Regions from separate parts of the Mus musculus genome. Here regions 1, 3 and 4 are each reported to be linked to region 2. The links are microRNA targets in miRTarBase. Many come from high-throughput screens and were not tested one by one. Region 2 holds a microRNA gene; each other region holds the end of a gene's coding sequence.

Evidence for each region. Region 2 holds the annotated microRNA mmu-miR-139-5p (UCUACAGUGCACGUGUCUCCAG, at 3,693-3,714, opposite strand). A microRNA usually pairs through its seed, bases 2 to 8, with sites in the 3' UTR of a target mRNA and lowers its output. Matches are read on the target gene's strand: a 7mer-m8 pairs with bases 2 to 8, a 7mer-A1 pairs with bases 2 to 7 and ends in A, and an 8mer does both.
Region 1: the mRNA of D17H6S53E is a reported target of mmu-miR-139-5p. Seed matches in the 3' UTR shown: 7mer-A1 at 5,951-5,957.
Region 3: miRTarBase lists Nip7 as a target of mmu-miR-139-5p. Seed matches in the 3' UTR shown: 7mer-A1 at 2,418-2,424.
Region 4: the mRNA of Atp5g3 is a reported target of mmu-miR-139-5p. Seed matches in the 3' UTR shown: 7mer-m8 at 872-878.

The regions. Positions count from the first base shown.
Region 1 is chr17:35,126,577-35,134,236 of GRCm38, reverse strand. D17H6S53E (DNA segment, Chr 17, human D6S53E) reads right to left here. Exons shown (of 3, transcript NM_033477.2): 2 at 7,452-7,594; 3 at 5,382-7,315. The coding sequence starts at 7,122. The coding sequence ends at 6,241. It overlaps Apom (apolipoprotein M), which reads left to right and starts at 2,436. Exons shown (of 6, transcript NM_018816.2): 1 at 2,436-2,627; 2 at 2,888-3,042; 3 at 3,319-3,398; 4 at 3,731-3,829; 5 at 4,059-4,157; 6 at 5,102-5,240. The coding sequence starts at 2,514. The coding sequence ends at 5,127.
Region 2 is chr7:101,472,096-101,479,095 of GRCm38, reverse strand. It overlaps Mir139 (microRNA 139), which reads right to left and starts at 3,720; the gene lies at 3,653-3,720. The region is part of intron 1 of Pde2a (phosphodiesterase 2A, cGMP-stimulated); the gene reads right to left.
Region 3 is chr8:107,057,886-107,065,545 of GRCm38, forward strand. It overlaps Nip7 (NIP7, nucleolar pre-rRNA processing protein), which reads left to right. Exons shown (of 5, transcript NM_025391.2): 4 at 162-302; 5 at 492-3,046. The coding sequence ends at 611. It overlaps Tmed6 (transmembrane p24 trafficking protein 6), which reads right to left. Exons shown (of 4, transcript NM_025458.2): 1 at 7,514-7,660; 2 at 6,189-6,315; 3 at 5,792-5,940; 4 at 3,599-3,939. The coding sequence ends at 3,709. Among named protein-coding and RNA genes, the nearest start is that of Tmed6, 3.9 kb to the right of the region's middle.
Region 4 is chr2:73,901,815-73,909,386 of GRCm38, reverse strand. It overlaps Atp5g3 (ATP synthase, H+ transporting, mitochondrial F0 complex, subunit C3 (subunit 9)), which reads left to right. Exons shown (of 5, transcript NM_175015.3): 4 at 10-203; 5 at 680-940. The coding sequence ends at 794. Among named protein-coding and RNA genes, the nearest start is that of Atp5g3, 5.7 kb to the left of the region's middle.

The sequences.
Region 1 (7,660 bases), not on the chromosome of region 2:
AAAGAAAAGAAGGAAGAAAAAGAAAGGGGATTGAAAGGCCCACCGCCAAGGGAGTTGAACGGTTAAGTTTTTCTCTCTCTGCATTCTTCCCCACTTATTCTTAGATGCCAGTACTGATGAGACTTCCAGTAAGCATTGTATGATGAGACTTTTACATGCTGTCTCACTGTTACCCTGAATTGCCTGGAACTCATAAGGACAATGTTCCCCCCACCACCACCCAGTGCAGGGTTGTGTGTCACTCTAATAGACTATATTTACGTTTTGAATTTTTTTTTTCCAAGATAGGATTTCACTATGTAAGTCTGGATGTCCTGTAACTCACAGAAACCCACCTGCCTCTGCATCCCAGATGCTGGGATAATAGAAGTTAAATATTTTTAAAAATACTTTTCGGGGATGGAGGAGGGGTGTATGGCCTGCGTCTGCAACAGCACAGTGCAAATGTGGAGATCCGAGGGAAATGTGGTGTCCTCTCACTGTGTGGGGACCAGGGGATCTTCAGCTTGGGTTGCCATCTGCCAAGTACCCTCACTGCTGAGCCACTTCCCCAGTCCCACATTTAGTATTTTATTATAAAAATTTCTGCCGGGCGGTGGTGGCGCATGCCTTTAATCCCAGCATGTGGGAGGCAGAGGCAGGCGGATTTCTGAGTTCAAGGCCAGCCTGGTCTACAGAGTGAGTGCTAGGACAGCCAGGGCTACACAGAGAAACTCTGTCTCAAAAAAACAAAAATAAAGCCGGGCGTGGTGGTGCACACCTTTAATCCCAGCACTTGGGAGGCAGAGGCAGGCGGATTTCTGAGTTCGAGGCCAGCCTGGTCTACAGAGTGAGTTCCAGGACAGCCAGGGCTACACAGAGAAACCCTGTCTCAAAAACAAACAAACAAACAAATAAATAAAAATTTCATGGGCTAGAGAGAAGTCCTGAGTTCAATTCCTGGCAGCCATATAGTGGCTCACAACCATCTGTAATTGGATCCGATGCCCTCTTCTGGTGTGTCTGAAGACAGCTACAGTGTACTCATATGAATAAAATAAATTAATAAATCTTTAAAAATCACTACCAGCAATTGCAGTGGGTGCTTTGCAGTTACTGATGATAATGGGTATTTCCTTCAGACTTGATGTATGCATGGTCCCATTTAATCCTGAGACTAATGGGTTGCCCATTCCAGAGATGGGGAAAACAGAGATAGAAATTAGTACAGTTGCCCCAGGAGGCTGGATCGTTGTTACCTCTGAGTCTGCTTGGTATGCATGAGTCCCCACATCTAACAGTCAAGTCAGGGGTTAGACCCACTCTTGTGTTTGGTTGTTTTTTTTTTTTTTTTTTTTTTTGGTTTTTGGAGACAGGGTTTCTCTGTATAGCTCTCTGGCTGTCCTGGAACTCACTTTGTAGACCAGGCTGGCCTCGAACTCAGGCCTGTCTCTGCCTCCCAAGTGCTGGGATTAAAGGCATGTGCCATCACACCCAGCAGACCCACTCTTTTTTTTTTTTTTTTTTTTTTTTTGGTTTTTTCGAGACAGGGTTTCTCTGTGTTGCCTTGGCTGTCCTGGAACTCACTCTGTAGACCAGGCTGGCCTCGAACTCAGAAATCCGCCTGCCTCTGCCTCCCGAGTGCTGGGATTAAAGGCGTGCGCCACCTCGCCCGGCAGCAGACCCACTCTTAATACTAGTGTTACACTTGCGTCTAATAGAATGTCTTCACTACCACCAAAATCTGAATAAACGTGAGCCCATTTGTCAGTGAGCTTTTCCTTCATGTGTTCTTACCAGTTCCCCTACTATACTCTCACAGGAGAAATGCAAGCTGGGCAAAGTGGCACAAGCCTTTAATCACTTGGGAGACAAAGGCAGGCAGATGATCTCTATGAGTCCAGCTGGCTTATGTAGTGAATCCCTGGACAACCAAAGTGACATAGTGAAACCCTATCAGAGAGAGAGAGAGAGAGAAAGAAGGGGTGGGGGGAGAATCCACCATGCCCTAGCGACTGGCTGGTGCCTGTTTTAACATTTATCAGTTTACATTGCAATGGATTGTTTGCAAAGCAAAGCTGTTTTCCGCTTTAAAAAAAAAAAAAAAAAAAAAAAAAAAGTCCTCCAGGATTAGCTAGTTCCTGGCAAACAACTGAAATTCCAGACTTGCCCAGTGAATGAATGAATGAAAGACCTAATCCAGCCACTTCTCATCGCAGCAGGGCTCCCATCAAATGCAGCATGGAAGACTGGGTTTCTACTGTAGGGCTCAGCTTTCCTCCTAAGGCCTCAGAGTCACTGGGTCATGCCCGGGTATATTGTAGAGTGGTTGCATCCGGAAGAGGGGGAGGAAGGCCCCGATGCCATAGTCAATCTAGGCTTGGGTTGGAAAACAAGGTTGAAGTTACTTATTAGCAGGTTAAAGGGTCAAGGGTCGAGGCGAGGGGGCTGGAGGCAGAGTAGACCGAGCGGCCATCAGAGAACAGTTAAGGCGGAGGTCCCCTCAACTGCAGAGCACCAACTCTCATCCCGAGATGTTCCACCAAGTTTGGGCAGCTCTGCTCTCTCTCTATGGCCTTCTCTTTAACTCCATGAATCAGTGCCCTGAGCACAGTCAACTAACTGCGCTGGGAATGGACGACACAGAGGTATGTACTGAGGGAACGCCTATATAGTAGAAGCTGAAAGTCTTGAGTAGGTGGGTCGCTCAAGATGGCCAGAAAGCATGTTGAAAAAGGAAGGGAGGAAGAGGGTGTGTGGGAGGCACTGGTGGCTCCTTGTTGCAAACATTGAAGGCCACCAGAATCGCAAGCCCCAAGTCTTGCTCTGCTGACAGATGGGGATGTTGGATGGATTTTTGTGATGCACCCAGCAACTCATCCTTTTGCTCCCTTCATTGCCTCTCCAGACCCCAGAGCCCCACCTGGGCCTGTGGTACTTTATTGCGGGAGCAGCCTCCACCACGGAAGAGTTGGCAACTTTTGATCCGGTGGACAATATTGTCTTCAACATGGCTGCCGGCTCTGCCCCAAGGCAGCTCCAGCTTCGTGCTACCATCCGCACGTGAGTGTCGAGCAAGGAGGCAGAGACACCACTGGGTGTGTTCTCTGCCCCAACTGTGAACAGTCACCACACCCAGCATCAGGCTCCCACTTTCTGCCCACTCAATTCCACAGCATTACAAGTCACTTTCTGGAGACAGAATGGGGCCTCACTATCTCTTAGTGGCTCAAAACCCAAAGAGCTAGGGTGTGGGGAAGAGAACGGTGGAATAAAGGATGTTACTGTGTGGTGGGAATGACACTCCATCTTCCTATCTTAACACTGCCACCTCTGCAGGAAAAGTGGGGTCTGTGTGCCCCGGAAGTGGACATACCGATTGACTGAAGGGAAAGGAAACATGGAACTCAGAACTGAAGGTTGGTTCCCACCAGCCCTCCCCTTGTCTCGTCTCCCTTAGCCGTTTCCCCTCGGGATTGAGGCTTGGACCTAGGACCTCCTGCATTCTTAGGAGGCAGGCATGCTATCACTGGGCCGTAGCCCTAGACCCTTTCTAGTTTGAGGCGGTTTCACTAAGTTGCCCTGATGGTTGTTGAGCTCACCCTGTAGCACAGGGTGTTGAACATGGATAGGCCTTGAATGTGAAACCCTCCTGTCTCAGTTTCCTGGGCAGCTGGGATCATGGTCCTCACTAGTAGGCCTGGTTCAGTGAGTCTGCATCTGTCCTCCTTTTCTCTCCTGATCCCAACAGGGCGCCCAGACATGAAAACAGACCTGTTCTCCAGCTCGTGCCCAGGAGGAATCATGCTGAAAGAGACGGGCCAGGGCTACCAGCGCTTTCTCCTCTACAGTGAGTGGGGATACAAGGCAGCAAATGTCCGAGGGAAACTGGAAGGCTAAAGAGCCCCCCTAGTTGGGGCTAAAAAGCCCACCTAGCTGGGGCCAAAAAGGCTCCCTAGTTGGGGCCCTTTAACATTCTTTCAGAACAGGTGGGCACTTCAGCAGGCCTTTAGGGAGCTGGGAAGCCAGGGCTGAGAAGCAGGAACACTGACTGGCCTGAATTTTCCCCGTCCTTCCAGATCGGTCACCACACCCTCCAGAGAAGTGTGTGGAGGAATTCCAGTCTCTGACCTCTTGCTTGGACTTCAAAGCCTTCTTAGTGACTCCCAGGAATCAAGGTGAGGGGTTGAAGTCACCAAGTCTCCTGTGGGTAAAGAGCTCTGTGCAATGTCAGCAGGGGCCGTGGCCAAAGGCAGACATTATCAGAATGGGTACACTGACCCCTCTAATTCTTATGGGCTAGAATGGTACCAGAAGGACTCATGTGCAGTTAGGAATAGTGACACACACTGTAACCTCTGCCACACAGCTGGCAGAGGCAGAAGAATTGCCACAGATTTAAAGCCAGTCTGGTATACAAGTGAGTTTCAGGACAGCCAGGACTATATATATAGTGAGGCTGTCTTTCAAAAATAAAAACGAGGGGCTGGAGAGATAGCTCAGCAGTTAAGAGCACTGACTGCTCTTCCAACAGTCCTGAGTTCAAATCCCAGCCACCACATGGTGGCTCAACCATCTGTAATGAGATCTGATGCCCTCTTCTGGGGTGTCTGAAGACAGCTAGTGTACTTACATAAATAAAGAAATCTTTGGGCAGGAGAGAGCGGGGCCAGACAGGCGGGGCCAGAGAGAGAAGAAAAAAATGTCTGAAGTGTACTTACATATAATAAATAAATCTTAAAAAAAATTTAAAAAAAGAGGTGAAAGATAGGTTTCTTAGAATTTAGAGCAGTGGTCTTCAACCTTCCAAACGCCCTTTAACACGGTTCTTCATGTTGTGGTGACACCCCACCCCACCCCCCAACCGTAAAACTATTTTGTTGCTCTTTTGCTACTTTTATGAATCATTTAAGTATCTCACATGCAGGGTATCTGTACGAAACCCCTGTGAAAGGGTGGTTTGTCGTCCCCCCCCAAGGGGTCATGACCCACAGCTGGAGAACCACCGCTTTAGATAAAGGGAGGAGAGGGCCAGATGTAGAGTCTCCTACCTTACTCCAGTGCCAACGGCACTCCTCCCCTGGACGACCACCCTCTTACTCTCTCCCTCCTCCCCCCACAGAGGCCTGCCCGCTGTCCAGCAAGTGACCAGTGACTTCACCCGTGTCCTAGACAGACAAGATAGGAGCCCAGCTTCGAGTGGAGAAGCCAGCGACTCCTGCCCCCTCTCGTGGATAATAAAGATGATTTGTCAGTCCTCATCTCCTGGGTTTTGTCTGCAGACATCAAAGATATCATTTCTCCACTTTGACCCTCCCCTCCCACCCCACCCCCTGACGGACACCTCCACCACCTCACACCCCCGGCTGTCAGGCATCAGGAAGGACACTGAGTGGAACCTCTCACATTAGACTGGTGTATTTAGGATGTAGTGTGGCACATTTATTGCTGAGTGAGCAATGCCTGAGTGGAGAGGCAGTCACGGTGCTTCCCCCACTGCCCTTCAGAGCTGCCAGCTCTTCTGTACTGGTCCTCATGCCAATCCAGCCCACAGCAGCTCTGTTTCTTCTGGCTCCCACCGACCTGCAGACCCTCACTGCAGGTACTGCGGCACCTGAAGCCCCTTCTCCCTCAAAGCCTCACTCTCCTCTAAACGGTTCTAGTCCTAGGATCCAAGGGACACTACGGGTCTCCCCATCAACTCTTAATGCAGAGATCTCTGTCCTGCCTCTGGCCCCATCCACCCCTGCGCTTGGAAAGGGCCCTGTGGTGTCCGTTCTCCACGGTTGCTTTTATTCTATTTTGCTTTTAAAAAGTGGAGGTGGAAATTTAAAAAAAAAAAAAAGTGAGTAAATGTAAAAGCAAGAAATAACAAAAGCTGGTGACTTTGCTGGGCATGGTGGCACATGCCTTTAATCCCAGCACTCGGGAGGCAGAGGCAGGCGGATTTCTGAGTTCGAGGCCAGCCTGGTCTACAGAGTGAGTTCCAGGACAGCTAGGGCTATACAGAGAAACCCTGTCTCAAAAAAACCAAAAAAAAAAAAAAAAAAAAAAAAAAAAAAAGCTGGTGACTTCAATGGTGATGTCCCATTGTCCATTACTGGCCATCCTAGCCAGCCCTGTCTGTCAAGTGTGACAGGAGCTCCTGTGCCTGAGTTTCCTCCCCATCCCTGAGGTCTCTGTGCTTACAATCTGGGTTTCCCCACCTTCCTCCTAAAGGCCACCCCACTATCTTTACCCTTTGCTCCCACCCTCTCCCAGTCACAACATCCTTCCGGGACCTTCCCTCTGCTCCTTGGCCTCCCTCTCCTGCCCCTCACTCTCCCAATCAGCGGTCTCCTCATCTTCAACAGGTTCCCGGAGGCTGACAGCCAGCACCAGGGCCTGCAACAAGCCAAAGAGGCAGGCAAAATGCAGGGGGTGGGCAGTAAGTAAGCTCAGCACAGCGTGGAGCCCATGTAGGGCGGCCAGGAAACATAGCAGCCCATGAAGCCAGAGGCCCACAGGTCCTCGAAGGCCCAAAGCATCCAAGATGGCTCGGAGTGGCCTGGAGCACAGAGCCAGCAGGGCTGTGGCAAGCAGCTCCAGCAGGTGCAGGGTCAAGTTGGTAGAGATCTGCAGGTACTCCTCTGGGTCCTGCAGGTAATGTGAAGGAGCCCCTGGTTCCCCCCGTAACCAACGCAGCAGCTTCTGACGGCGACCAGGTTTCTCCAACAGGGCTTCTGGCCCAATGGTGCCTAGTCTCCCTTGAGCGGACACTCCAAGGTTCTTCACGCCACCTGAATCCACAGGATCCCAGTCTAGTTTGGGAATGGCCCCTCCAGACTCCAGTCTTGCAGGCTCTTGAATGGTAGAGGCAGTCTTGTCCCGCTTGAGGGAATCCATTCTTTTGCTCCCCAGTTGATCCACTTTGAGGTCCCTGCTAGACTCTGGAGCAGCCCCGGGGGGTCTCCGTGTTCCTGAATCCTTGGTCTTAAGGGGCCCCACATCTCCCATGGTCTCTGGAGCACTGTCCCAGTCACTCCCCGAATTCTCCGGGGAGCTGTCCACCCATCTGGGTTCTGGGGCAGGCAAATCAGCCTTTGTTGATTTCTTTCGACCCCAAGGTCGAGGTAGCCAGCCACCAAGCCGTCGAAGGAACATGACTGAGCTGTGCAATGCGCTTCCCAAATCTGTGACCACTTCCTGACTCTGCGTAAGATTCTCAGGATCTCCTCCGAAGCCAGAATCAGTTCCGGTTCAGAAGAGGTGTCTGCTTGGTGATATTGTCCTACTCTGAATTCAGAAAGGACTCACACAGCCCCAAGTGTGGTAAATGGCCTGCTTCCGTGTCAGTCTAAGGGAAAAGAAATCCATTTGCCACCCCACACACTAACAAGACTTCTAGAGCCCGATAAGGCCAGGGTCACCCCCACAATGTTCTGTGCTTTCAGATTTCCTTCCCAGCAGTCAGCACCCCAAGTTTCACTCACCAAGACCACATCCCAAGGTGCCCCAGAAAGGGGAGAGGTGGTGTTCCATTGAAGGAAAGAAGGTGGTGGCCCAGGGTCCTTCGGTCCTGAAACTGAGGAACCTTCAAATCGCTGCCCAAGGGAGCTCAAGGAACAGGAAGTCTCTGTTGAGAGGAAGACGGGATGGAAGTGTCTAGCGAACTCCAGTCAGTTAAGTGCATCCCTTAACT
Region 2 (7,000 bases):
TTGATCAGTTTGCTGTGCCTTTTTAGGCCAAGGGCAAGAAAATGGCGGTGGTGGTGATGGTGGTAGAGGGAATGAGGTAAGATAGCTTGGGGAGAGTTGGGGCACCAGCAAGGAGGGGTTCTCCATCCTTGCCCGGGTAAGTAGGATGCAGACTAGTAGAGTTGAGGCTCCGGGCTTGGCAGCCATCTCTCCATCTGCTTTGGAGTCTGACCTGCTCAAGAATGAGGTGTTAGCTGTGGGAACGATTGAAGGAAACAGGCCACTCAGAGGGGCCTGTACAGCTCGCTGAAATGCCAATTGCACAAATGAACACCCACCTCTCACCCCACCACAAGGGTCTGAGAGTAACTTAACCTCCACTACACCAGCTGGGGGAGGGGAGTTACATTCGAATCCTGCCTGGGCACAGGACAGAACTGCAGCCTTGGGGGAGGGAGCAGCTGTGAAGAGGAAATGGGGCAATTTCTGAAATGGAGGCACAGTAGGGAGCCAGCCTCAAACAGTCCTAGCACCCCAGGACTCTCAAGGGAGGGAAAAACAGCCATTTTTACCCACTTGTTTGTCTGTCCTCCCTCGCCCCCTCCCAACCATGTGCCACATAGGCAGGCTGTCAAGTGTACACCTTAGCTCACACCTCCATGTAGATGGCTCATATAGGCACAGACAGAGAAATGCAGTCATACGTCCAATGAGTACAGTCAGGACTAGTATTTAGGAGTATGCAGGCAGACACACACACACACACACACACACACACACACACACACACACGGGGGTGGGGGAACATAGCACGTGTGCACATACACAAGAGTCCTTGCTCATTGTGGGTGGAGGCTGTCACATTTCCTGTCCTTGCAGCTTTTGTGAACAAACACCAGAGTAAATATCAAAATATCAGCATAACAACCAGGCAATTTCCCAGACCCCAGGGGAGAACCTGTGGCGTATAGACAAGAGCAATGATTTCCAGCCCTGTCCCAGATTGACGACAGAAGCTCCATGTGGCCTTGAACACACCCCTTTCTCTTCTGAACCTTGTTTTCCTCCTGAATGTAAAAGAGTCTTTCCACTCTGCGACACCTCTAGTTCTGTGGTTTTATGGACTAATTTGATGAGGGTGACTGGGTAGGTGGATGGAGGGATGCATGGAATGGGTGGGTGGGTAGATGAGTGAGTAATTAGGAAAATAGGTGGGTGGGTAGATGGGTGCATGACTGGATGGATGGATGGATGGATGGATGGATGGATGGATGGATGGGTTGATGGATGAGTAGATAGGCAAGTGGGTAGAAAATGAGTAGATAGAAGACTGAAAAAATGGGAAGATGGTGGGTATGTGAACAGATGAGCAGATGAGAAAAATCAATGGATAGATGGATGATTAGAGCAGTTAGATGGCAGATAGGTGGGTAGATAGGTAGGGAAAAGGGAAATGGGTGGGTGGGTGGACAAATGGGTAAAGAGATAGGAAATGGAGGGGAGGCAGGTGGGTAGGTGGGTGGGTGGGTGGGTAGGAAAATAGGTGGAGGGTCAGTGGTAGTCTGTGGACAGTAGGTGGAAGAATGGACAGAGTTCTTTTGCTCTCTGCAGCTCCCTTACCTGCGGCTCTCTACCTGCTGCTGTGGGCTGAGACTGCCATCAGCACCGCAGACAGCGCCATTCCTGTGTGCTGGTCTTTCTCCCTAGATACCATGAAAGGGGACAATGCTGTTGGAACCAGGGTTTCTCTGAAACCTGGGCGGTTGCCAGTTTTCTGAAACCTGGGCCTGAATCAGCATTTGTGTGTTCGACTGGGGAGAGCAGAGGGCCCAGATTGAATTGCTTCTAACTCCTTCCTAAGATCATATGAAACCAGAAATTTTGGTCTTCTCTCCTTTGGGGCCATCCTTAGGGACAGATGGCCTTGAGTAAGGGGTCACTGACAGAAGATGCTGTCTTATTCTGCATCTATAACCCTCCATGACTTTCCTAACTCACAAACCTGCCATCTGCTCGCCCTGCTGCTGGCACCTGGACTCCCTACAAGAAAGTAATAACATGGGACTCCAGAGTAAGAACCAAACTGTACCCTGGAACCATTTCTGCCGATCCATCTTGCTCTGTGTCTCCTCCTGGCCTGAGGTTAGGGGCTGACCTCACAGACTGGAATCTGATATCTTCCTCCAAAGGGAGATTCCCTGGGAGCTCCTCTGCCTGTCTGCTTTTTTCCATCCCTCTGGGTCAGGCTCTTCTGGTCCCTCCGAGTGCTTCTCTGCCTCTCCCCATCATACCCTAGGCGATGTCCATCTGTCACACACTGCTCTCCTGTCTTGCCATGTCATTTCCACCTCCACATCCTGGCTCTCTCTCCGGGAAGGCTTCTCTGCCCACCCTCCTTCTCTTTCCTGCATATCCCCACCCCAATCACTCCTGTCTCTCCTGCCCACTCCTCCCCCAGATCTCCAAGAAATCATCCTGAGAACATGGGGGGAGAACATCAACAGACAGAATGCAGCCATGAATAGAGGTGCCAGAAAGTGGTCACGGTAGGGAAAACCAGGAGCCTGGAGCAGATGCCACCTGCCCCCCTCTCTGTCTCCATCCTCTTGTTCTGGAGAGCAATGCACACATTTCCTAATCTTTCCTGGAGAATGGGGAGTGCATCTATCTCCATGCCCAGGGCACACCTCCATTAGCCAGAGCTAGGTTACTTAGTATAACTATTTAAGAGGACTCCTTGAAACTCAGAATAGGAAAGTCCCTAGCCCAAGCCCAAGTCCAGAAGCCCAGTTTTCCTCTCTGGCTCTTCACAGCTGCCCAGACACAAGGCAGAAAACAGAGGAAGCAGGAGAAGGTGGCTCCTTTCCCTCCCCACCGCCCACGCCTGCCACCTGCCCAAAGAGCTGTTTCTAACAGACCTGTCACCTGAAAATATTACAAGAGCTGCTTGTGTGTGCTAACACTTGCATCCACGACTTCCCAGTAGCAAGGCTGAGCTGGGCCAGAAGCAAAAGGAAAGGAAAGAGACTAGGTGATGTTGGGCAACCCAGATGCCAAGTGAGCCACCTCATAAGCCCTGAGTGACTCTGGCTATGGGGAAGGGAAGGTACCTTTCTCAGGTACTGATTGTGGTTGCAGATGTCCCTCAGTGGTTTCCAAAGTACGGCATGGCCCAGAGTCACCTGGAGGACTGTTGAAATACACAGTGCTGTCCCCACCCCAGAATTTCTGCATCAGCTGGTCTGGGAAGAGGTTGATGAATTTGCACTACCAACTCCCCAATTTCTAGCTGCTGCTGGCCTGAGACGTGCCTTTCACTCACCCCACTTTAGAGGCACAGGGGTGTAAAGACCGGGATGTAGGGAAGGTAGATCCTTTCTCCAGTGAGGGTAGCCATGGGGACAGCTGGATGCTACCCCCACATGAAGAGACTCCACAAGAAAGATCCCCAAGGAGAGGAGGCATAAGGGTGAGAAAGGAGAAAAGGAGCTGTGGCCATCGTTGAGTTGGTGACACAGGGGCACGTGGAAGGAGCCACCTGCAGCTCAAGAGCCAAGTACTACAGGAAGGGGCCCCCTTGTCCTCCTTTTCTCTCTCCCCCACCCCCTTTCTTTTGCCCACCATGCCCTCTTCCCCCTTAGCCCACCACCCTTCGAAGACTCTGGCTTCAGTTGTTACTCCAACAGGGCCGCGTCTCCAGCCTCCGAGCCACACTGGAGACACGTGCACTGTAGAATACACCTGCGCCTGTCCTGGCGCCTCCCAGGGGAACCTCCACTCCCTGAGGGGGACCCTTGGGACAACTGTTGGCTTCTCTCATCCCTTACCATAGCTGGTCCCCCCCTGGACCTCCCACTCCTCCCCAACCAGGCTGAACTTCTACCCCAGGCACTCCCACTGTACTGACCCCTTTAAAGCCATCCAGGGCCAAGTGTGGTGATAGAGAGTGGGAAGGAGGAGAAGCAGCCAGGTGGGAAGGCAGGGGTTGTTAGTCCTCTCAGACTGACAGTCTACTCTCCAGTCTAGAAGGGAAAGATTAGGGAAATGGAAAGAGGAGGGAGACAAGAGCCCAGTATCGGGAGGAGGTGATGGCCCTGGCCTGGAAGCTTTAAGATGAGTTGAGTTGGGTCAGACTTTGACTTCTCCTCACCCTACCCATCTTCAGTTGCCTCCTCCACACAGTAGGACCACTCTGTCCCCATAGCCCTCAGGTTTCTAACCAGTAAGGCCCAGCTCCCATACATGTCACCATAGTCTCCTCACAATTCCCGTCATCTTGGTTTCCTGTGGTCTCTAACCTTCCTGCCTCTGTGACCATGAGAGTTGAATTGAATACAGTGGGACAGTCACTGGGGACTGTGGTGAGTATCTGTGACTCAGAGCTGTGTCTGGGGAGATGTTTTGGCATCAAGGAAGCTTGGGTACACTGTTCCCCAGGGTGTACAAGAAAGAAGAGACTCTGGGAATCAATACCCCGAGAAAGGGTCTCGGTGAACTGGCTGGCCTCCTGCTCCGGTTTCTATGAGCCTGAATGTCTACGACCCCACCTCTCATGTGGCCTTGGAGATAGGACCAGAGCTTGACCCAGCAAGCCTAGAAGCCTCTGCAAGTCAGACATAATGGTCCACTCAGGAGAAAGGAATGTCGAGTGACTAGCTGGACCAGTGTCAGGAAGGGAAGTATGCCAAAGGAAAAGATATGGTCAGACAAGAGTGGGTGGGTGAGAGAGCCAGTGATGGTCTGCTCACTCGGACCCTCACAACTTGATGGATGCTCCTTCCCGGTGCTGTGTGTCATCACCTTGCCACACTGCCCTCTCTGGCTCCCCCATCAGGCCAGGAGCTTTTGGGGGAAAGGACAGCATCCTGATTGTCCCATAGCTCTTCTGCTCTTAGCATCATCTAGTCTCCAATGAGAGCCCAGAAATGGTGGAGGCCAGCGACCTCCTGAGCAGAGAAGTGGAGTTCCTGGAGGTCCCAGGTGGGGAGACAATGGCGGTCTCTGTATCCCAAGTCTGGCGTGATGAGAGACGTAGACAAACAGCCCACGGAATGAGAGGATGCTTTTCCCTGAGAACTTTTGACAGCATTTTCAAGGTATCTGGCAAGCCAGGAGACCTTCTGCTCTTCAGGATCATCTCCAAGTGGGAAAAGCCTAGGGTCCCAGGAAGAGCAGGTGAGCAGCACCTCTTATTCAAGGACGTCATCTACATGGGGAACACCTGTCTCCACCCCAGTCCTCCTGGGAATTCCTATGAGACCAACGTCTTTAGACCTCAGGTGTCATGACATTGGATGCCCAGTTTGGTATGGGGTGTATGGAAGGTCAGAGGAGACAAAAAAAAAAAAAAATAGCCAGGTTCTCCCCTAAAGGCATGGGGCGAGGCCCTCTCTCCTGTGGCTTTGGACTTCTCAAGTCCTGCTTTGGCCAAGGGATAGACTTGTCATCTCTCCAATGTTGGAATGGGACTGGGTGTCTCTCTCTAGGCCTGGGTGGAGCCTCTTGTCTCCCGCTCTTCCATTGTCCCCTTCCCTCCTGTGCCCACAATAGATAATAAATGCTAAATGGCACTGACTTGACACAGGGCGATGTATGGCTTACAGAAGGGCAGGAAGGGAGGGCTGACCAGGGGTGCTGGGCAGAGAACTAAGTGTCCCATGGTACCTGCCTGGTGGTTGGTCCTGAGTGTCCCCAGCCCTCCCAGTACCTCCCCAGGGACCTCTGTGTCTGCTTGTCTTGGTGTGTCTCTTTGGTGTATGTCGATTCCACAGCCTCATGTTGCTTCCTCCTCTGACTGTATTTGGCTCCATCCTCACAACTTGGCTCGTCCCAACTGTTCCCCAAATCCCAGGAGAATGGGAGTATGAGACATACAGGGACAGAGACCAATTCAGAAACAAGGAAACACGTGAGAGTCAGAAGGGGATAGGAGACAGGACTGTCGAGGCCAGGACCAGCCGGGGAAGACCCCCAACATACAAGGAAACCCTTTAAGGAAACCTAGGGAGGAGAGATTCCTCCTCTACGCTGACTCCTGCCCTTCTTTTCACTCTCTCTGCCCCTGCTGGAATGTGTGAGCACTTTTATTGTTCCTAAAAATAGCCCTTCTTTACTGGGGGGGGGGGGGTGCCGGGGGGGCTGGTGTGAGGAATCTTCTGGAGAGGGTTCATCTCAGGCATGCTCCTGTCTTTGTGTTTCTCTCTGGGCTCCCTCACCCTGTGCAGCACTTTGCTAAAACATAAGTGTGACCCACGAGTTCCCACTCCCCTGTGGAGTGGCCCTGTTCCCTGTTCCTCTGAGGTCTGGGTTCCTAGATTGGGAGGAGCTGTTGGCAACTTTCCCATGGCAGCTCCAGAGCAGCATCCAGAGCAGAGGACACTGACGTTTTGAGTTATTTCTCTGCCCAGTCTCTTCAAACTCAGGCCTTTGCTCAATGGGTGACTTTCACCCATGACCCTCTTTATCCCTTTCAGATTGGCACTCTTGTCCCCCCATTTCCTACACCCCAGTATCCTCTCTTCTCTTGTGACCTTTCAGGCCCAGCCCTGGCCTGGTTCAGGAGCCTGTCTGGTTCCCTGGCTCTCATCTCTATCTCTTCTCTCCCTGCTCCTTACATATAGCAGGGCAGGGGCTAGGCCTCAGGGACCCAGCACATCCTCCAGGGAACCATGAAGTTGCTGGGGAAACCTTGTAGGCTCCGGGGGCCCCATGTATTGCATCTGTACTCTTATTATCCCCTCCAGGTCTCCACACCCCCATCCTATTTTCATTTGTTCTAGATCCCAAGTGTCATTGTCTCTCTCAATCTCCAAGGGACTCACCTCCTCCCTACCTCCATTTTTCAGCTGAGAGAACCAATCCCCAGAGAGAGGCACAGCAGAAACTGGCCAGGACCTTCGTCACTGTGCATTGATGTACAGGATCCCAGCTGGTGGGGTTCCAGGGACAAAAGCAGGCTCTTCATGCACTCATCCAGCCCCACCCAGCAGCAGGCTGGCATCCAAAGCTATTTATTTGCCTT
Region 3 (7,660 bases), not on the chromosome of region 2:
AAAAACAAAAAACCCACAAACAAACAAAAACAAAAAAGTGGGGGGGGGGTCCAAACAACTTAAAGGTTCCCCACCTCTCCTTAAACTCGGAAGCAGCTGCTAATCCGCATTTAGGGATATAGCCCAACATCCTTGTGTCTTGGCTTTTAACTCTCTTTCAGTATAAAGTGTGGGTAAAGCCGGGAGCAGAGCAGTCCTTCTTGTATGGAAACCATGTGTTGAAATCCGGTCTGGGTCGAATTACTGAGAACACATCTCAGTACCAGGGAGTGGTTGTCTATTCCATGGCGGACATTCCTCTGGTGAGTAGCCACGGTAGCCATCCATCACGGCAAATGCCAGGTACCCACTGGAAAGGATGAAGTTTCAGTCAGCAGCTCGGAGACTGACTTCTTGGCTCCTTTCACAGTTCTCAAAGATACAGCTGTTTCAATATAGTTTTTGTTTTGTTTTGTTTCCTTATAAATGAATGTCTGTTCTTTCAATTCCAGGGTTTTGGGGTGGCAGCAAAGTCTACCCAAGACTGCCGAAAAGTGGACCCCATGGCAATTGTGGTGTTCCACCAAGCAGACATTGGGGAGTACGTACGCCATGAAGAGACACTGACTTAGGACGGTCATTCCAAGAACATTTTGCTGTGTGAGAGGACTTAGCTTTGTTTCCTGTGTGCGGCCATCAGATTAAATCTGGACAACACTGAGATACGCAACTTGGGTTCTTATCAACAGAAATGGCGTGAAAACAGGGTCTCTGGCCCTCTAGAGTCAAAAGCAGGTGGATCACAAGTATAAGGCCAGCTCAGGCTACTTGGAGAGTTCAAGGCTAGCCTGGGCTACATAGTGAGCCTTGTCTCAAAAATCTAAAACAGACAAACCAGAACCTGAGAGTGTTTTGTGTGAGTAAATAGAGTGTTTCTGTTTTGTGTCTGCGTCGTCTTTGTTTGGATCAGAAGACTTGCTCTGAGTGATGGTTTCTAAGTTACTTCACTGAGGACAGGAGCCATCTTACTGTTATCTGTGATAACACTGTTTTCCAGGCTCATGATAGCACAGTGGACTTTCTATTGTGTGTTAATGTTAAAGGTAGAAACGGCCATATGAGCCTCTGGTTTTACATATGGAATTTAATAAATTTTAATGGTTTTATATTTGTTATTTCATATGTGTGAGTGTTTTGTTGGCATGTACGTATGTGCACTGCTTATGTGCCTGGTGCCTAAGGAAGTCAAGGTGATTTCAGACCTGGAACTAGAGTTACTGGTTGTGAGCCACCGTATAGGTGCCAGAAATTAAACTCAGGTCCTCTGCAGGGACAGCAGTGGTCTTAACCACTAAGCTATCCTAATAAATTTAATAGGTGCATTTTGGCTATTTTTCTTGGTGTTAAGTGGGGTATAGCGTGGAAGCGTCTGTATTCAAGCCTCAGTTCTGCCCCTTGCCAGCTGTGGTGGTGGACAAGTTCTCTGCTTAGAGAGGCTTCATTTTCTTCCTTTGTTAAAAGAAAAAACCCATGACCCTGCCGTATGGTGGTGCATATCTTTAGTTACAGCACGGGGGCTTGAGGGTGAGGCAAAGGCAGATGGAGCTCTATAGGTTCAAGGCCAGCCTGGTCTACATAAGGAGATCCTGGCCAGTCTTAAACCCAAAACCCACAAAACTGAAAAAACACCTCCAGTCATCAGTGTAACAGTGATATTCAGAATTAAAAATAGCAGTTGTAGGGGCTGGTGAGATGGCTCAGTGGGTAAGAGCACCCGACTGCTCTTCCAAAGGTCCGGAGTTCAAACCCCAGCAACCACATGGTGGCTCACAACCATCCGTAACAAGATCTGACTCCCTCTTCTGGAGTGTCTGAAGACAGCTACAGTGTACTTACTTACATATAATAAATAAATAAAAAATAGCAGTTGTAAAGCATCCTGCATGGGATAGAGTTATCCTGTCTCAAAACAGGAAATTGTTCGTGCGTGTCTGTGTGAGTATATCCTGCTTGGGTAGCGGTATCCTCAGAGGGCAGAAAACACTTGGGATTCCTTGGAGCCTGAGGTAAGGACAGTTGTGAGCTGGCCATTGTTGGTGTTGGGAACCAAACTTCAGTCCTCTAAAAGAGAATGTTCTTTCTGAACTGCTGAGCCATCTTCCCTGTCTGTGTTAAAATGATTTTGTTACTTTTTTTTTTTTTTAATTGAAACAAGTTCTGACTATGTATCTCTGCTTAGAATGTACCCAGGCTGGCCTCAAACTCAAGGATCCATTGATTCTGAAGTGCTGAGATTAAATGGGTATACTACCATACCAGGCTCAATTCCCCCACCTCCCTTTTTTTTTTGTTTTTGTTTGTTTTTTTTGTTTGTTTTGTTTTTGTTTGTTCTTTTGAGACAGGGTTTCTCTGTAGCCCTGACTGTCCTGGAACTCATTCTGTAGACCAGGCTGGCCTCAAACTCAGAGATCTGTTTGCCTCCAAAATACTGGCCTTAAAAAATGTGCCCCACCATGCCTAACTTCAGAACAATTTCTTTTTCTTTTTTTTTGAGACAGGGTTTCTCTGTATAGCCCTGGCAGTCCTGGAACTCACTTTGTAGACCAGGCTGGCCTCGAACTCAGAAATCCACCTGCCTCTGCCTCCCGAGTGCTGGGATTAAAGGCATGCACCACCACACCCGGCAGAACAGTTTCTTAAGATATGATCAGGTTATGTCAGTTTTAGGGGGCATTTTTATTTTTTGAGACATTTGTCACATTATATCTAAGTTGGTCTGAAATGCTATGGGACCCAGGCTGTCTTAGCCTCTCAGGTAATGGTATTATAGGTCTGTCGCCACACCAGTTTCCAATGGTAACATCTTTTAAATAAAGTAAAATATTTCCAACCGTTGAAGGGCACTACAGGCCAAGAAGATAGCTCAGTGGACAGCCTGGTAGGGTGGATCAGCCATGTGCCACCAAGCCTGATGCTGTGTTCAATCCCTGGGACAAGGTTGAAGGTGGGGACATTGCTGACCTTTGTAGTCCTCTACAATGGATTAAAATTTTTTAAACTCCAAAAAGTTGTCTCCGTATCAACTCTTTCAGAGCTTTTAACGTACTTTGAGATATGGTCTTGAACTGCCTAAGGCTGATCTTAGTGCTTCCTCTGCAGTGCTAGAGTTCAGATTTGAGAGCCACCACCCTGATTTCTGTGGTGCCAGGGATCGAGGCCCAAACTGCATACAAAGCAGGTGCTCTTACTGAAGGGAGCTTCATCCTTGAACCCACTTCCAGGGTTTCTCTGTGTAGCCCTGGCTGTCCTGGAACTCACTCTGTAGACCAGGCTGGCCTCGAACTCAGAAATCCGCCTGCCTCTGCTGGGATTAAAGGCGTGCGTCAGTGAAGGCTGAGGGACAGCTGGATAAAGATGTTTCTAGGCTGCGGATGGGGTTACACACCTTGCCAGCAGTGGGGATGCAGAATCTCTTTAGTTTGGGGTGAGTTGGGTCTACCCGGCAAGTTCTAGTAGCCAAGGCTACATATTGAAACCCTGCCTCAGATAAACAGTACTTTTAGCTTTTAGCACTTAATTCGTATTTTAGAATGATCAGCAGCAGAACTCACTTTTTGTTAAACATTTGCCTTTATTGGTGGACACAAGAGAAAGGGGACATAAGTTGACCCCCCCCCCAATAACTTTCCAAAGCCCATTTGATCAAAGCTTTGACAAATAGGCTATATGTTAGCATCTTGGCTTCTTTGTGTCAGTAGTTGAAGCAGTAAAAAGTCTTTTCAAGAAATAGAGCTGGAGGGCCCCGGAAAGAACAATAGCAAGGCTCTGAGCTGTGGACCACCAGTTCACATAGGTGTAGTTAGACTGCAGGAGGAAGAAGTCAGCCACTTTTCTCATCCTGGCATAGTTGTAGAAGCGCCACATGTGGAAAACTTGGTTCTCCACCCTTTGTGTGCTGTCCTGTGGGAAGAAGGAAAGCCACTCTGGCTGCTGTTGGGTCTTACCTGCCCTGATCTAAGTGACCTGTGACTCAGGAGTCTGAGAAACAGTGCTACAGCAGTTGGTAATACATGGTACTTTGACTTTGTTTGAGAAAAATTGGTGGAGTAGTTTTAAAGTTAGGAGGCATAGTTAGGGCTTGGGATGTACCCAGTGGTAAGGAGGATTGCCTAGTACCCACAAAACTCCCCACATCCTAAACTCAGCAGCCTTGAACATTCAAGGTAAGCACTTGGGCTACTTCTCACATAGCCCAAGCTGGCCTCAAACTCAGTGTGTAGCTAAGGGTGACTTTGAATCCTGATCTACTCTGTTGAGGTTACTTGTATAAGCCACTATCAATTGAGATGCGTGTTCCACATGCCGTCACCTTCCTAACCAATACCTTGTCCCTGCAGACTGTTAGGTTTATGAGACCACCAGGACAGCTATCACCAATACTTTAGGATGGATAGAAATCAGAATCTTGCTGGGCGTGGTGGCGCACGCCTTTAATCCCAGCACTCGGGAGGCAGGGGCAGGCAGATTTCTGAGTTCGAGGCCAGCCTGGTCTACAGAGTGAGTTCCAGGACAGCCAGGGCTACACAGAGAAACCCTGTCTCGAAAGAAAGAAAGAAAGAAAGAAAGAGAGAGAGAGAGAGAGAGAGAGAGAGAGAGAGAGAGAGAGAGAGAAAGAAAGAAAGAAAGAAAGAAAGAAAGAAAGAAAGAAAGAAAGAAAGAAAGAGAAAGAAAGAAATCAGAATCTTCATAGTTGTCGGGTAGTTCATACAAAACTAAGCAGTTTAAATCATGCCCAGAAAGTCCACTTGTAGCTACATGAAAAGAAAACACAAAAGCTTGTTTGCACACATTATCACCAGCACTGTGAGAGCCAAAAGGTAGAAACTCACATGTAGTCAGCTGGTGAGTGGATAGTCAGGAACAAAGCTGTACTTACACAGCAGGATGTTCAGAGCTAAGAAAGGGGCCAAGGACTAGCCAAGCATACTATATGTAAATTAGGTGTGACAGCTTGGGTCTATAATCTTAGCACTCAAGGTGAGGCAGGTGGATTGCTGCAAATTGAAGGCCAGTCTGAGCTACAGAGTGTGAGACCCTGTTATTTATAATAATAATAATAATAATAATAATAATAATAATAATTCCAGGCGGTGGTGGTGCATACTTTTAATTCCAGCATTCAGGGAGCTAAGTTTGAGGCCAACCTGGTCTACAGAGCTCCAGGACAGCCATAGCTACACAGAGAAACTGTCTCAAAAAAAAAAAAAAAAAAAAAAGAATCAGACTGGGCATGGTGGTGAATGCCTTTAATCTTAGCACTCAAGAGGAAAGTGGATCTCTGTGAGTTCAAGGCCAGCCTGGTCTACAAAATGAATTCAATTCAGGTCAGCCAAGACTACATAGTAAGACCTTATCTCAAACAAACGAAAGCCGTGCTTTGTGAAAGAAGGGACCATAAAAATCCACTTGCCTGCTTCTGTTTACAGAAAACCTACAGGAACAGTGCAACAGCGCTTCTAGGGTTAGGAGATTCTAGAGGGGATGGGGCAGTGAGGACCGTGTAGAGTTTCTCGCAGGGACGGGAGATTGTTCTGCTGTAAGTACTAGGGTAGCTGCACAAGTTTGTGAATGAGTATTACAAACAGGCAGTGGACTAGACAGGTCTGTTAGCCACTGTTTGCCCAAGCCTTGGTACCAGAGGAGCGCCGTGCCGCATAATGAGCTGAAGGGTTCAGCTCTTTTTGCCCATTTGGTTTTTATTATGAGTCCTCCCTTGTTCAGGCCACACCCCCAAGAATGCCCATCCCATTACCTTAATCGCATCCAGAGTGTCGTTCAGTTGCTTCCTTTGACTCTGCTTGTGATCCACCTCGGGCCCCTCATAGAAGACTCCGAAGTTGAGATACACTTGTATAGAACTGAAGCGATTCTGCTCATTTTTTAGACAAAGCTGATAGAAGCCTGTGGGAATTCCTAGATCTCATTACCAGGTCTTTAGTGCCCCATCCTGTCTTACATTCTCTGTTTAAGAGTCCTGTCTGTCCTGGAAGCACTCTGTAGACCAGGCTGGCCTTGAACTGACCAAGATATGCCTGCCACTCCCTCCCGAGTGCTGGGATTAAAGGTATGTGCCACCACTGCCCAGCCCTTATTTCTCAATTTCATAGAAATGTTTGACTATTATTGTAGCTTTGGAGATGAATACATACCTGTTTCTTGTGTAGCAAAGTTAATCTGGCCCCTTACATCCTGGGAAGTGTCAATAAGGAAACCCTGCGGGGTATGTGCCGTGGCAACAATGTGGCGGTCATGTGACATCCCGAGAATGCGCTGAACCTGCCATCACCGGTAAAAGAGAGAGAGAGAGAGAGAGAGAGAGAGAGAGAGAGATCCTTACTACATCACTCAAAAACCAGCAAGGTGCCAGGCAGTGGTAGCGCACGCCTTTAATCCCATAATTCCAGCCCTTGGGAGGCAGAGGCAGGAGGATTTCTGAGTTTGAGACCAGCCTGGTCTACAGAAAGAACAAACAAACAAACAAACAAAACAAACCAGCAAGGACTGATGCTGTATCTTGTTTGAGGCCAGTGCCTGGGCTACATGAGATCCTGTCTCCCCAAGAGCCCCCACAACCTAAAAACAAAAAACCAACAAAAAAACCAAAGTTACCTCTAACTTTAATATTAAGGTCCTTGGTGGCCTAAGCCCCTTTGGGTGTACTTGCCCAAGGGATAGGCACCTTCCAAAGAGGAACAGAATTGTCTGGGTGCATAGACAAAGCTTTGAGCCGGTTATTCTACAGGTTGTTAGGATTAGCACATGCAGGAGGTCTGACCTTATCTCACCCCATGAACTCAAGTGATTTCACTTAAAATCTATTATGGGACCCTTTTCTGTCTCTCTCTTGTTTCTTCTTTCTTTTTCTTTTTTTCTGTTTTTTTTTTCTTTTTTTTTTTTTTTTCTTTCAAGACAGGGTTTTTCTGTATAGCCCTGGCTGTCCTGGAACTCACTTTGTAGACCAGACTGGCCTCGAACTCAGAAATCTGCCTGCCTCTGCCTCCCAAGGGCTGGGACTAAAGGTGTGTGCCACCACTGCCAGGCTCGTTTCTTCTTTATTGACAAGTTTCTCTGTGTAGCCCTGACTGTCCTGGAACTCACTCTGTAGACCAAGCTGACCTTGAATTTAGAGATCCCCCTGCCTCTGCTTCCTGAGTTCTGGGATTAAAGGTGTGTGCCCCACAATTATGTGACTATTTTAGCACGTGTTGTCTTTCCTCATATCCGAGGAAAGCTAAAGGTTGCCTCTCTTGTCCATTGGATTGGAACACACTTCTGTAGCTTCCAGTTCTAGACCAAGCCATATGCTTTAGCTCCCGTTGCTGGCTGTTCATCCAAGTCTCACCCAGAGTTGCTCTCTAACTGAAGGTCCACTTGATTCACAAGTGGCAGCCACAGCCTCATAGAGAACCAGACCTTGGCTTCATCAAAAGCCTGGCTCACTTTATAAAAGGTATGGCCAGAGGCCTCCACGCACCTCGTAGCTGAAGTAGAGGTATCCCATCTGGTCAGCAAATTGCCAGAAACATTCGATGGCTCCTGGAGAGACCACGATGGCAAAGTCATTCCGATCAGCTCCACGGAAGAGTGGCTGGTCCTTGGAGCCGTGTAGGGGATCTGTCTC
Region 4 (7,572 bases), not on the chromosome of region 2:
TCTTCCCAGGGCTCTACAGTTTTTAATGGGGCCCAGAATGGTGTGTGTCAGCTGATCCGAAGGGAGTTTCAGACCAGTGTAATCAGCAGAGACATTGATACTGCTGCCAAATTCATTGGTGCAGGTGCTGCAACAGTAGGAGTTGCTGGTTCTGGTGCTGGTATTGGAACAGTCTTTGGCAGTCTTATCATTGGTTATGCCAGGTAATCATGTCTGTCAGAGTAAGGTGAAGACTCAGTGGGAAAGTAGACGTGGAAAGAGGGAAATGATGAAATAATGGTAGCCCTTTTGAATGAAGTGTCTGCTGTGTCTTGCATTATATTCTGAGCTGTGTGTGCACTGGTCACTTAAATAAGTGAGGATAGAGCTAGGGGCTAGGGAACACGCCTATAACTCCAACCAGTCAGGAGAGTCAAGGAGATCACAAATGTCAGGACCCCTCAAGGTGGTGTAAACTGAGGATTTATATTTGCATACGAAGATAGCTCCCTGACTTTATGCCACATGATTAGGAGTGGGTAAAATACTCTGAGAGACAAAAGCAAAGTGGTATAGGAGATAGCACCCCCATGAGACTTGCAAAGATCCCCATACTAGATATCTGACTCTACCATTTACCCAATGTGCTGACATCAACGTTGCTTCACAGTAACAGTCATCTGTGTTGTGTCTCTTTTAGAAACCCTTCACTGAAGCAGCAGCTGTTCTCATATGCTATCCTGGGATTTGCCTTGTCTGAAGCTATGGGTCTCTTTTGTTTGATGGTTGCGTTCTTGATCTTGTTTGCCATGTAACAGAAATTACTGCCTGAAATGTTGGCATTCATAGTAATTACGGATGTAATTCTGTGTATCTTGCTGTGACTCCGAAGACTGTAGTACTGGTGTCATGGAAATATATGTTATTTCCACAGTCATTTCATTAAAGATGAAAACTTTAATTCTTGCTGTGATTTGTACTTATATAAGTGTGGATCATCATAAAGATGATCTGTTGAGGTAGGTGGTTGTCCAAGTCAGAGGAAGGTACAGCAGTTACCCTGGTTTTGAAAAAGTGATGAATATGAAACATTGAAAAACACTTAGTGAAGTAGACCAAGCAAAAGACCCATAGTGTGATTTTGTTTGTATAAAATAGGTAACTTTGTAGAGACTAGGCCAATTAGAAGTTATTGGGAACTCTAGGAGCATGGAACTGTGGGTGACTGACTGTTAGTTGTGGAGTTTCATTTTGGGTGATTGGTGCTTGAACAAGGTTATAAATGCACAAAACCATCTCATTACATGGTTACCATAAACCAGGCATGGTGGCGCACGCCTTTAATCCCAGCACTTGGGAAGCAGAGGCAGGCGGATTTCTGAGTTCGAGGCCAGCCTGGTCTACAAAGTCTACACAGTGAGTTCCAGGACAGCCAGGGCTACATAGAGAAACCCTGTCTCGAAAACCAAAAATAAGAAAAAAAAGAAAGAAAACCAGTAGGTGAGTTTCCTACTGTTATGAGTAAGCATACAGAGATGTTTGGAAGGGCTGGGAGTCATTTTCCAGGGAAGAGATCACTTGAGAACACTGCTTGTCTCCACCTTATGCTAAACCTTGAGTAGCAAGAGGACCACCTAGTGAGTGGCTCAACTGCAGACTTAAAAACAGAAGAGCACTGGCACATGAAACATTGCCAGGAAACAGTGTGAGCTACAGGTGAAAGGTAGGCTGGCACACAAATGCACAAATTAGCAGATAAATGAGTTTTATCATGTGATCACAGACAGCGGGGCATGGTGGCCCACGCCTTTAATCCCAGCACTTGGGAGGCAGAGGCAAGCGGATTTCTGAGCTCGAGGCCAGCCTGGTCTACAAAGTGAGTTCTAGGACAGCTAGGGCTAGAGAAACCCTGTCTCGAAAAAACAAAAACAAAACCCCTTGGAGCTATGTTTAGAATTATTTAAGGAGACCAAGGTGGTCTGGTGCTTGTGCGTGTCTTTAGTCTGGGAGGGAGAGGCCTCTGGATCTCTGAGTTGAAGGCCAGCTTAGTTTAGAGTTCCAGAATGGTCAGAAAAAGACCAGTGTGGAATGGCTTGAAGTCAGCAGTACCAGTGGCTACCACAGCAGATCTTCTAGTGATAAATAGGATGTTGTGTGGCAAGAAATTTCCTGGGGAAATGGCAGGTAAGGGACCCATGGCAAAACAAGTATGGATACTACCAAACCCTAAGTTGAACCAATGAGTTTTATTGGGATTATTTACACGTATATGAGTGAGGGGTTACTGTAGCAGAGATGTCTCAAAGGCAGCCGCATCACCAAAGCCCACTCTGGCACCCATGACAGCTCACAAATCTAGAAACCTAGAGCACACTGCAGCTTGTGAGTTTACCTTCATGCTTAAGAAACTTCCCTACAGGATGGAATGTTGCAGTCCCCAAGGAAACTGTTAGACACAGAGGCCTTAGTCTAGGATGGTGGCCACGATAATTATAAAGGAACTTCACAGGACTGGAGAGATGGCTTTGTGGATGAGAGCACTTACTACTGTTGCAGAGGACTGGAGCACTATTCCCAGCCTCAGTTGGGTGCTCACAACCATCTGTAGCTCTAGCTCCAGGAGATTTGAGTCCTCTTCTGACTTTTGCCCACACCAGGCACACATGTGGTGCACATATACACACAGGCAAAAGTACATACACATAAGATTAATTTTTTTTTTCACTTGGGTGACTTTATTTATTATATGTAAGTACACTGTAGCTGTCCTCACACACTCCAGAAGAGGGAATCAGATTTCATTACTGATGGTTGTGAGCCACCATGTGGTTGCTGGGATTTGAACTCAGGACCTTCAGAAGAGCAGTCAGTGCTCTTAACCTCTGAGCCATCTCTCCAGCCCAGCCATCTCTCCAGCCCTAATTTTTTTTAATTTTAAAAATAATTCTTAAAAAGAAAATTTCAGGGCTGGAGAGATGACTCAGCGGTTAAGAGCACTGACTGCTCTTCTGAAGGACCTGAGTTCAATTCCCAGCAACCACATGGTGGCTCCCAACCATCCATAATGGGGTCTGGTGCCCTCTTCTGGTGTGTCTGAAGAGAGCAATGGTGGTGTACTCATGCATAAAATAAATGAATAAATCTTAAAAAGGAAAAGAAAGGAAGAAAGAAAAAAAAAAAAAAAAGAAAGGAAGGAAGGAAGAAAGAAAGAGAGAAAAGAAAGGAATCTCTAAAAGTATTGGGACCTGCCTAGATCTCTAGGGCCAGTCAGAAAAGACAAGGGTGTCTATTCCCTACTACTCCTGAGAAGAAAGGCTTCACACATATACTGTCAATACTCAAAACAAGCCTGCAAAATTAGGAAAAATCAGTTCATTTCCCAAATTATTTGGCCATTGTTTGGTAGTACCCAGATCTGAGTTCATAACTCCCTGGGTTTCAGAACCCATGCTAGGGTTTTCAATATGATTATGTCCAGGATGCCAAAGAGAAATTAATTTGGGGAAATAAAGAATTTTGATTTTTGTATAATTTTAAATATGAGAATCTTAGAAGTAGACTTGGTCCTGTATAGAGAGGACCAATGCAGTGTGCCTAAAAGCTGTGAATACAAGGTCAGAGTGCAGGGTCTGAGAAGTGGCTCAGTTCAGAATGTGTGGCTCAGCCAACAACTGGCTCCACAGTCAGTTCTCTTGGGAGAACTGCTACAGTGACTGCTATAAATAAGGACACTAAGAAAACCCACTTGCGTTTTTGATGTCTTCATTCTCATGACTAATTGAGATTTGTCTACAGGGATAGGATTGTTAAGGTGGAGTAGAGAGTAGAATAAAGCACATTATTTGAGAAAATGATGTTGAATCTCATTTGCAATAATTGTAGGATTTAATTTCATGACATCTTCCTTGGTGTCTTAGTTAGGGTTTTATTGCTGTGAACAGAGACAATGACCAAGGCAATCCTCCCCCCACCCCACCCCCAACAGGGTTTCTCTGTGTAGCCCTGGCTGTCCTGGAACTCACTCTGTAGACCAGGCTGGCCTTGAACTCAAGAAATCCACCTGCCTCTGCCTCCCAAGTGCTGGGACTAAAGGTGTGTGCCACCACTGCCCAGCCCTTTTTTTTTTTTAAGGTTTATTTTGTATATGTGAGTACACTGTCACTATCTTCAGACACACCAGAAGAGGGCATTGGATCCCATTAAAGATGGTTGTGAACCACCATGTGGTTGCTAGAATTGAATTCAGGACCTCTGGAAGAGCAGTCAGTGCTCTTAACTGCTGAGCCATCTCTCCAGTCCCAAGGCAATCCTTATAAGGACAACATTTAATTGAGGCTGGCTTACAGGTTCAGATGTTCAGTCCAGTATCATCAAGGCAGGAACATGGCAACATCCAGGCAGGCATGGTGCAAGAGGAGCTGAGAGTTCTACAACTTCATCTGAAAGCTGCTAGCAGAATACTCACTCCCAGGCAGCTAGGACAAGGGTATTAAAACTCACACCACAAGGCCACACCTACTCCAACAAGGCCACACCTACTCCAACAAGGCCACACCTCTCAACAGTGCCACTCCCTGAGCCAAGCACATACAAACCATCACACTTGGTCTTTGTTCACCTGAGCTTCTCTTGACTTCTCCTAAACAGCATTCAGTGCCTGTCAAAATTCTCTCCAAAAGTTAGCTCATTATGACTTGAATTAGAAGCCAGTAGTGATTTGTCCAAAGAGAATGTGGAAAGATATTTAATGTGTAAAACATATTTTACATACAGGAAAACTGCAAATGAAGGGCTAAGCATTTATAAATGACACACACTTCATTTCAGCACCTGGGAGACAGGCAGGTGGATCTCTAGGGATTCCAGGTCAACTTTGACTAAAAAAGGGAAAAAAAAAACAGCTTTTAGTCAAACAAAAAAATTTTTAATACAGAAAGGGGATGGTAGAATTGAAATTTCTAAGACTTTTATTACAGAACTCATTCAATAATAAAATAACTGGACACTAGCTAGTGAATACTTTTTCATACTTTAGATTAGTGGTTCTTAAATGTCAGTTGTGACCCCTTTCTAAGGTTTCAACAGCCCCTTAATAGAGGTCACAGATCAGATATTCTGAATATCAGATATTTATATTATGACTCATAACAGTAGAAAATTACTGTTATGAAATAGCAACGAAAATAATTTTATGGTTGTGGTTACCATAACATGCTACGATTAAAGGGTCGTAGCATTAGGAAGGTGGAGAACCATGGTTTTAAATAGAGGTTTGTTTTTGTTTTGTCTTAATTTTGTGTGTGCATACACTGCCACAGCTTTTTTAAAATAATTTTTAAGATTTATTATATATATGAGTACACTGTAGCTATTTCCAGATACCCCAGAAGAGGGCATTGAATTCCATTACAGATGGTTGTGAGCCACCATGTGGTTGCTGGGAATTGAACTCAGGACCTCTGGAAGAGCAGTCAGTACTCTTAACCGCTGAGCCATCTCTCCAGCCTGAGGTTTTATTTTTTATTGAGAAATATTGAAAGCATCTTGTTTTCTGGGGGCAGGGAGGTAGGGGAAGGGGGAATTTATTGCTCTTTCAGAGGAGACCTAAGTACAATTCCCAGTTTCCACTTGAGTCTGCTCACAACTGCTTCTTACTTACATCCAGAGGCTCCAACACCTGCCCTCTTCTGGTCTCTACGGGTACTGAACTCAAGTGCACAGAGACACATACACACACACAGAGAGAGAGAGAGAGAGAGAGAGAGAGAGAGAGAGAGAGGGAGAGAGGGAGAGAGAGAGAATGTGTAGCTCTGGCAGGCCTGGAACTTATTAGGTCCACCAGGCTGGCCTTGAACTCACAGAGATCTGCCTGCCTCTGCCTCCCAAATGCTGGGATTAAAGGCATGTGCCATTACACCCACCATTTTTTTAAGTAGCTGTCTTAGTTAGGGTTTTACTGCTGTGAACAGACAACATGACCAAGGCAAGTCTTATAAAAAGCAACGTTTAATTGGAGCTGGCTTACAGGTTCAGAGGTTCAGTCCATTATCATCAAGGTGGGCGCATGGCAGTATCCAGGCAGGCATGGCGCAGGAGGAGCTGAGAGTTCTATGTCTTCACCCAAAGGCTGCTAGTGGAAGACTGACTTCCAGGCAACTAGGGTGAGGATCTTATACCCACACCCATTCCAACCAGGTCACACCTATTCCAACAAGGCCACACCTTCAGATGGTGCCACTCCCTGGTCCAAGGATATAAAAACCATCACAGTAGCAGAACCTACTCCATGAAGATAACTACAGAGGTTGGTAACAAATTTCTAACAAACTTAATTACCCTAGTTTTGTGAACTGCAACAGTGTTAAGAATCATGTTAACTGTTATGAAGAGCAGAGAAGGTGGTCACTGGCAAAAGAAATAACAAAAAGTCAGCAGTTAAAAGCACTGGCTGTGCTTCTGGACCTGGGTTCAATTCCCAGCACTGACATGGCAGCTCAAAACTGTAACTCCAGTTCCAGGGGATGCAACACTCTCACATAGGCATATATGCAGGTAAAACACTAATGCACAGTAAAGAAAATAAATATTTTTTTAAAGTCAAGGAAGCTGTGGAAAGAAAGTGAATAAATATGTTTTTTAATTGAATGACCTGTAAAACTGAACAAGGTAAGGAACAATGGAAGACAATGAGGGAGAAAAACTACAACAGCTCAAAAGCCTTTGGCTTCAGTAACATTGAAAAACCATTTCAGTAAGAGCTACAGGCTGACCAAGCAATTTAGAGCTTAGAACTTAAGAGATGATTTAGAGTTGACAAAATTGTGGTTTCTGGCTATGTAGATAGTTCAGTGGGTGAAATGCTTGCTGTGTACCCACAAGGACACAGCAAGCATTGCAGCTACTGGTTCTAGTCTGGTTTCTATTGCTGTGATAAAAACCATGGCCAAGGGCTGGCGAGATGGCTCAGTGGTTAAGAGCACCGACTGCTCTTCTGAAGGTCCCGAGTTCAAATCCCAGCAACCACATGGTGGCTCACAACCACCCATAATGAGATCTGATGTCCTCTTCTGGTGCATCTGAAGACAGCTACAGTGTACTTACATATAATAATAAATAAAGCTTTTTTTAAAAAAGAATTAATGACCAAAAGCAACTTGGAGAGAAAAGGGTTTATTCAGCTTGTAGTTGTGGTCTATCATAAATATACTGGGTATGTTAACCACACTTCAGGATAGGCCCCATGCCCACCCAGTTCAACACAAACTAACTCAATGATGTTTTCATACACTATTTGTCTTATACTGCTTTGTTTGGGCATTTTTAAATCTTATTGGTTTTTAACTTGTGTATTTGGGTTTCCACTTTTGGGTGGGGGTATGTTTCTTATTTTTCTTGTTTTTTAAAGAGAAACAAAAGATGTTGAGTGGGTGAGAATGTGGAGAGAAAACTGGGCAAGGACCTGGATACAGAGTGACAGAGAAAAACACCTGACACCAACCTCTGTCCTACATACACACACAGTGAAAGAAGAAAAGCATAGAATCACTTCTGCCTCGACTTGCAGGGACAATCAGCAAGGACCTAGGGCAAGGG